Linked DNA regions of Drosophila melanogaster. Changing the gene in region 1 together with any one later gene gives a genetic interaction. Each region holds a gene or a part of one and is shown on either strand. Other genes may lie near its edges. The genes, in order: Sec6 and Exo84.

Evidence for each region.
Region 2: of Sec6 (region 1) and Exo84, changing one enhances a phenotype caused by changing the other (phenotypic enhancement), as found in Drosophila melanogaster (one study listed by BioGRID).

The regions. Positions count from the first base shown.
Region 1 is NT_033778.4:18,623,388-18,627,309, forward strand, and holds the start of Sec6 (secretory 6), read left to right. Parts: upstream 1-1,861; 5' UTR 1,862-1,955; coding exon 1,956-2,927; intron 2,928-2,992; coding exon 2,993-3,922. Other genes in the region: Atg7 (Autophagy-related 7), read right to left, coding at 1-190, 252-396, 528-740, 798-1,319, 1,376-1,572. UniProt on the Drosophila melanogaster protein: Component of the exocyst complex involved in the docking of exocytic vesicles with fusion sites on the plasma membrane.
Region 2 is NT_033777.3:26,049,852-26,053,773, reverse strand, and holds the start of Exo84 (exocyst 84), read left to right. Parts: upstream 1-1,516; 5' UTR 1,517-1,544; coding exon 1,545-1,584; intron 1,585-1,644; coding exon 1,645-1,803; intron 1,804-1,856; coding exon 1,857-2,187; intron 2,188-2,241; coding exon 2,242-3,014; intron 3,015-3,073; coding exon 3,074-3,603; intron 3,604-3,658; coding exon 3,659-3,844; 3' UTR 3,845-3,922. Other genes in the region: Vps2 (vacuolar protein sorting 2), read right to left, coding at 27-484, 545-857.

The DNA.
Region 1 (3,922 bases):
TGGGAATCTCCAGCACATAACCCGCCGTTTCCGCAGACGGATTGATCTCTTTCAATCTCTGAGCAGCTGTAGTCGCCTTCATCCGATTGCCTGCCACAGCATCTGCATGCGTGTAGAGATTCTGACGCACTGGATTAGAGAACCCAACCTTGCCGCTGTCCAAAAGGGTTATGTGCTTAAATCCCCAGGACTACAAAATAAATAAACTATTAGTTATCAGATCAGTTAAATCATTTCGTATAAAAGCACACCAGCAGATTTCTAGCTACAGCGCATCCTAAAGTACCAGCTCCAAAGAGCAGGCATTTTGTTTGGGAGATGATTTCGAGATTGAGATCGGGAACAAGGCGCCACTTCATTAGTTTCAGGTTCAGGTTTACAGAGTTCTCAGCGAGTCTACGGAAAGAAATATTGTTAAATTATAAATAATAAACAAGTTACTTTCAACTGTCGTGGTAGCTAACACTAAGGACACACCTCAATGAACTGATAGTTCTTATCATTTAAGTCTATAGCTATTAACTTACTTGGCTGGATCCATGCTGTCCCTCATGCACACCATTCTTGGCCCCATTTTGCCATTTTTATTTAGCTCCCAGCCCACGAACTTTATATTTTCGCTTTGGCTAAGATCGCAAGCTTCAGTCTGAATCACCTTCCATACAAGGCTGTCATCGATGTTCATTTGTTGATTGTGTCGCAGGCCAAGAAACTTCAATGGTTTTCCAACAAAAGAGGGACTGTAATAGACCGACAACTGTGTGAACTGATATCATAACATTGCTATTCCTACCTACCATTGCTGAAGCAGAAAGGCAGCATAGTTTCGCATTATCCAAGCTGGATGCTCATACTCGCTGGGATCAGCAAAACCAAAATAACAGAACTCAACATTTTTATCGTCAAGGGAACTTAAACTACGGGCTTCGAAAATGTTCTTCTCCACATTAGCATACAGAATGAAGAAGTTCTGTGACTCAGTGGGTAAGGCCTTTAGAGCCATTATATAGCTACTACTATTGGGCAAGTCCCGCAGTTTTTGGACGGCTCCCTGAAGCTTTAAGGTGGGCGTCAGCGGGCACGGAAAGGCGAACCAATAGTAGTAGCTGTGACACTTTAAATCGGCAAAGGAGAGAACAAAGAACCGGGTCAATAGACTGGGATCTCTCAAGGCGCCACCACTGCACATATCAGCCAGCAGTTCCTTGCCCTCATCGGCCAGCAGTTGTAATTTGTCCAGGGCCTTGAACTCTTCGATTGTGTTCTTATTGTAGATGGTGCCTATAGCGGAATGGCTGAATTTTGGAGGCTTTGCCATTCTGGAATGTGGGTGGTCAAGCGCTGGTTTCATCAAACTCGTAGTTTTCAAGCTCACCTGTTGTAGGCCGTGTAGTCTACTTCCAAAAGGCATCCACTTGCATTACGATTTGTGTAGTGTCCAGTAATGGAGCGTTTCGAGTCGGACAGGCGATCGTGGTCGAGCTTAAGCTCCGCTAGCTTGTGCCAGAAAGTGGGCGACACAAAAGATTCCCACGGAGCAAATTGCAAAATTATCTCTTTTTCCGTGCTCATGTTTTGCTTAGGGCGTTGTTTACGTTCAAACGTTTGGCTGCAAATTATAAACAAACAAAGCTCTCGATGGCGATAGACCAATGAGAAGATAACTTATCGATAAGTACAGTTTTCCATACTTAGGTCGAATCCTCTGTTGCTTTGGCAAACTAAAAGATATACTTTAACTTCATAATTTTTTAAGCTTGAAGAATAAAATAAAAATTTTAAGACACAATAAAACTATAATAATTTTAAGAGTAGAATATAGCTTATTGTCAAGTTACACTGTAGTTCTTGGAAGTGAGATTGTCAGCCGCACTGCTATATGGTCACACCAGCACTTCCACTGCTGACGAAGATTGACCAAAACAGAGACTGAAAGTGATCCAAATAAATTGAAGATGGATTTACAGCAGCTGGAGGAGCAGGCTCGCCAGGCAGCGCTCAAGGACATACAGAACATGTTGCAGCGACCAGGTCAACTGGAGAAGGTGGAACAATATCGCCACCGAATCGCCCGGAAGAAGGCATCCGTTGAGGCGCTCCTTAAGACCGGAATGCAAGGACAGCTGGACGGGGTCAGGGTGGGACTTAAGCAGTTGGAGACCTGCATGCAGGACGTGCGCGAGGTAAGGCGTCGAATGGACGAGGTGGAGCGCCTGCTGAGGGGCGTTCCCGAAGTCTACGACGCTTTGGAAGTTGTGCGGGAGGAAAACACAAAGCACTCCCAGTACGCCACCGCCATGGAGAATCTGAAGCACATCTTCAACGTAGATGCCAGCGTACAAAAGACGATGGCGCTGATCGAGGATGATAAGCTGCTTAATGCCCATCAGTGCCTGGCGGATCTGGAGAATTCGCGGGATGATCTTCTCTACGAACTGCACAAGCAGCCCAAGCAGCATGCGTCCGACAAGATCACCCTAAAGCGTCACTTCGAGAAGGTTGACACGGTATCCCAAGAGCTGGAGAAAAAGCTGCGACTCATTCTTAGCCGCACGCTGAACACTCTGCGCAAGAAGCCCACCATCATCGTTACCGCCCTACGCATCATAGAGCGGGAAGAGAAAAACGACCAGTTCGCGTTGCAGCAGCAAAAGGTCACAGGATTCCTGCCGCCTGGAAGACCAAAGGCTTGGCGCCGCATGATCATGGACGTGCTACAACAGTCGGTGATAACGCGCATAGAGGGATCCAAGCTAGAGGAGCGGGCCGATAACAAGATGTGGTTAGTACGAGACCTGGAGATATTGCGTCAAATCATTCTCGAGGATCTGCGCGTTGTGAAGTCCCTTTGTGTGCCCTGCTTCCCGCCGCACTACGACATTTTCGGCGAATATGTCAAGTTCTATCACGAAGGACTTTCTAGCTATGTGAGTAATCGTCAATCATTTAAATTGATTAATGTTTTTATACCACTAATATTTACTAATTCCAGCTTGACAACATTGTGCGCTCGGGCTTGGAGGGCAATGAATATGTATCAATGATGGCTTGGGTTACACACACCTATCCTGGCGTCGAGCTGATGTCCCATCCGGATCTTAATGTGGATGTACACCGACAGATAGGTACTCTGCTGCGTCCGGAACATCTCAAAGCGCTGGAAGATGAATATCTGCAAAATATGCAGAGAAACTTCCAGGAATGGATGACCAAGGCCGCAGAAACGGAGAAGCAGGAGTGGTTTACTGAGACGGTGCCCGATCAGGATGAGGAGTACTACCACACTTCAGCGCCTGTCATCATATTCCAGATGATCGACCAGCATCTGCAGGTGACCAACACAATTCATCAGGAACTGACGTTCAAGGCGTTGGTAATGAGCATTCAGCAGGTGGAGATCTTTGGCCAGACATATCTTAAGAACGTAATCGAGCTGAAGGAACACCATTTTCGCAATCGGGACCAGATCAAATACTTCACTCACTACATCATCACCATCGTGAATAACAGTCAGCAAATGGTTGAACTGGCGCAGCAGATGAAACAACTCTACTGGCCCAAGTCACGTACTGAGCATTATGAGGATTTCGAACGTTTGCTTGCCACATTCCAGCGGATCCGGGCTCATGCCGCAAGTTACTTGCTGGAGGAAGCCTTCCTGGACATGGAGTGTCACTTTAACGACCTATTCACTGCCAAGTGGCTGGCCAGTAACATTGCCGTGGACACCATTTGTGTAACGCTGGACGATTACTTCCAGGACTATAATCACCTGCGACCCAATAACTTCGAGATGGTCATCAACGAGGCCCAGAAGCTGCTGGCCAAGCGCTACATTAGGGCACTGCTATCCAAGCGACTGTCTAAGCCACGGGCCGAGTGCGATGCCATTACGCGAAAAATCAAGACCGAAGCCAAGCGG
Region 2 (3,922 bases), on another chromosome or scaffold:
GACAGGCAGTGGTTCTTAGTAGCGGCTCAATCCTTGCGCAGCTTATCCAGGCGCGCCTGAAGATCCGCATCGGCATCGGACATGGGCGATGAGGCACCACTGCCACCGGGAGCTCCCGGACCACCAGCGCCGCCACCACTAGCTCCACCTCCGCCGGCGGCTCCACCGCCGCCAACGCCACCAGCGGCCACAGCCTGTGCTTTCTGAGCGCCAGCGCCGCCGGCTATGGAAAGGGAACCGGAGGCGGAAGGAAGGTCTCCCAGCTGTTCGCCCAATTGCAGACCCAGTTCGTCCAGCACCTGGGACACAACAGCATCCGTCTCCTCCTCGTCGCCCTCGTCCTCCATGGCGTCATCGATGGCATCGTTGATCATCTCCTCCTTCATGTCCATCATTTCCGACTGTTTCTCGAAGTCCTGCAGGATCTTCTGGATTTGCGGGAGATTCAGCTGGCGGTTCATGTTCTGCATGGCCTTCGTGACACCTGGAAGATAAGCATAATTGCTTGATAAGCGGGTGAATCAGCCAAATAGCCAATGTTTACCTTTCATGGCCTGTGCCATTGTGTTCTGCGACTTGAGCGTCTGAATTTTGAGGGACACCGCCTGGATGTTTGCCTTCATCAGCATGAACTTCTTGGCATACCGCCGCGTGCGCACCAGATCCTTGGCCATGATCTTCACGGCATCCATTTGACCCTCCTTGGCCATCTTCTTGATATCCGCGATAATCTTCTTCTCCTGCTGCTCCATTTTCATCCGCTCGCGGTCCAGATCTCGCATCGCTTTGTTGAGCGCCCGCTGATTCTTACGCAGCATCTCATCGGGGCTGATCTTCTTGCCGAATAGCCAGTCCATGTTTAAGGATATCTTAACTGCAAGATTTAATTACGAAGAATGACGGAGTTTCCTAAAGATTACTCATCAACCAAAACAATAAGCGAAGGGTGTGCGCGATTCTAAGGTGGCCAAGACGTGTTGGCGCTTACATGCGAATAGTGCTAGTGGGAAGAAGAAGCTTTGCCGGTGCACTCTGAAAGAACTGTTCACACTTCAACTTAGTGAATTAGCAACAGGTGGAAAATAATTTTAATTTATTACAATACAACACACACACATTGTAATGAATAGTATACATATAGACATATGTCTTCTTGATTTTTAACGTAGATCTTTGACGTAGTCGTTTATATTTAAAAGTTCAGTTCGAATAAAAAGTATTCAGGGCTTCAACGCCTAATCATACCTAAGATGAAAATCCGAAATGTAAATGCGAATAAATTTGTTGATCTCTAAAAGGTCTTTGACGTAGCCGTTCAGTTCGAATAAAACTTTTCATAGGTTTTAAATCTTAATTAATCTCCTATTACTTAAAACTAAATAAAAATGTTCTAGATTTATAGATTTATCTAATACCAGGGAAAACTGCAGTGAAAACATGGCATTTTCTATAGCATCAGCAACCTTACAATCGACACCTCATGATGACGCTCGTTCGTTGTGAATGGCTCTGCGTCAGCTGCAGTTTACATTCCAATCAGAATCATGAAGGAGTTCGACGATTTTAATTTTAGCGTTGAGAAATGTAAGTATTCCTATGTCTATTTAGCATTAATCAGTCTACTAATAAGTACAACGTTCCCAGATACCAAGGACCTGACACGAGAATGTGTGGGTGGCAGCGATTTGCAGCAGCGAAAAAAGGAAATCGAGGCCTACAACGAAACGACGGCAGCAACGCTCAAGCAAACATGCAAAAAGAACTATATGGAGTTTATACAGACGGCCAAGGAGATATCACGTAGTTTACGCCCCCCAATATCAATATACATTTATGTTAATATTTTCGCATCGCAGATCTCGAGTCGGAAATGTATCAACTGTCGCACATTCTGATTGAGCAGCGCAATATTCTGGCCACCATGACGGATGGCAAGACTTCCAGTCACCTGAAGGCAGAGAGTTTGGAGGCGGAGAGCACTACGGCGACGGAGGATCTGGAGAATAGCCATGCCACGCGGGCGGTCAAGGAAATGGTCCAGGGCTTCAATGGCAATCTGGAAGGCAAGACCTTCCTCAACGAGGGAGCTCTAATCGAGTTGGACAGTAATGATTATCGACCCATTCAAAGGGTCTTCTTTTTCCTCTTCAACGATGTACTGATTGTCTGCAAAGTGAAGCATGATAAGTAGGTTTTCCTATACTAAAGCATATAGCAAAAACTAATAGTAATATTTTTCAGGCGCTTGGATTTCCTCACCGAGTACGACCCCAAGAAAATAGCCGTGATTAACATTAAGGACTTGGATGGCGTTAAGAATGCCATTAATATCATTACTCCAGATGGTTCCAAGATCTATCAAAGCATCACGGCTGCTGGGAAGACGGAGTGGATAGAGAAGCTCGAAGAGGCCTTCCGCTTTGACCAGCAAAAGAAACCAAAAAAGGGCCAGGCGCCACAGCCTCCAACTCGGGCCAAACAGCAGTCAAAAGCTTCGACTCCGGAGAAGGAAACCACACCCCAGAGTCCCGGACAGCCCAAATCCCTGGAGGATGAGACGCCCGAGTGGCTAAGCACGGCCAGTGAAGAGATTCAGACCCTGGTGGCCCAACGGCATTTCGAGGATGCCCAGGAGCTGATAAAGCGAACCCAGGACTTCTTGCGAAACGAGAACCGAAAGAAGTTGCCACTAGCGGACGCCATTGAAACCAAGGTGAAGCAGCAGGAGCTGAAGCTGATCAATGTGCTGCTCAAGGAGTTGTCCAACAGTCACAATCGCAATCTGCAGATCGCTCTGAGAGCAGCCAAGCGGCCTCTGAAGATTCTCGTAGAGATGGGTCGCTATCGGCAGGCGAGTGCCACTCTGCTGAAGGTCTGCGCCGTCAGTTTGCGGGTGGCGCAACGGGAGGCGCGCAGGAATAATGCGGATATATCGGAACTCTTCTTTTGTGACCTGACGCAGGTGGCCTGTGATTTTCTCACCGCCTTTGAGAAGCAACCGGCGTGCGTTAGCGGTAAGCTTCATTCCTATTTCTGTCTACATTTAAGTATTACTACTATCTAATTCTTGCAGCGCTCGTGGTTTGGTGCAATGCGGAGCTGCAATATTTTGCCAGCCAACTGATAAAGCATTACCTGACCAAGGGAACCTCCCTGGAGTCAGTGGCCAAATGTGTGGAGCGAGTGCGCAAGCCCTCGACAAAGCTCACAGAGATCGGGCTGGACATTAGTTATCATTTGGAAGGTCTGTTGCGCACTACACTCGAGTCGCTCATAGAGGAATCCAAGGAGCGACTGCTGGACTCCGTGGGTCGCACCGAGGAGAGCTGGCAGCCGTACAATTTGCAGACCAAGTCGAACCTGAAGCGTCTGCTCCTGGAGCTCGATGTCTTGGGTATCGATGTGCGAGCCCAGGCGACGGGCGACACATGGATTAATCTCACCCAGTCGACAGTGGTTTTCATCAGACACTTCCTGCAGCTCACCGAGTACTGCGGCTGTCTGGCCAAGTGCGAAACCCTGCTGCAGAGCCTGGAACTGCTTCTTAAGGAGCTGTTCATTGCCCAGCATTCGTTGAAACCGCCCAGCGACATGGCCGTGGATGTAAGTTAGAAAGCAGCTTAAATAAAACCGCTCTCTTCAAGAATGCCATTTTCAGCCCAACTTTGTAATGAAGAACAAGATTTTTCTGGTGGACAACCTGCTGCCCATCGCCATCGACAAGTTTCGACAGATTTCTGGACGCCAGTGCGAGGGATTGCGCGAGTTGCACACGAAAATGTCCCGCCAGCAAGGTGCTCCAGTGCCGCGCCAGCGCAGCGTCTACACCACAGATGTGTTTTAGATGCACGCCGTGGGATTTACTTTCGATTACATATAATTTTTTATTTTTTCGTTTTGCTTCAATTATTTATAATATAAT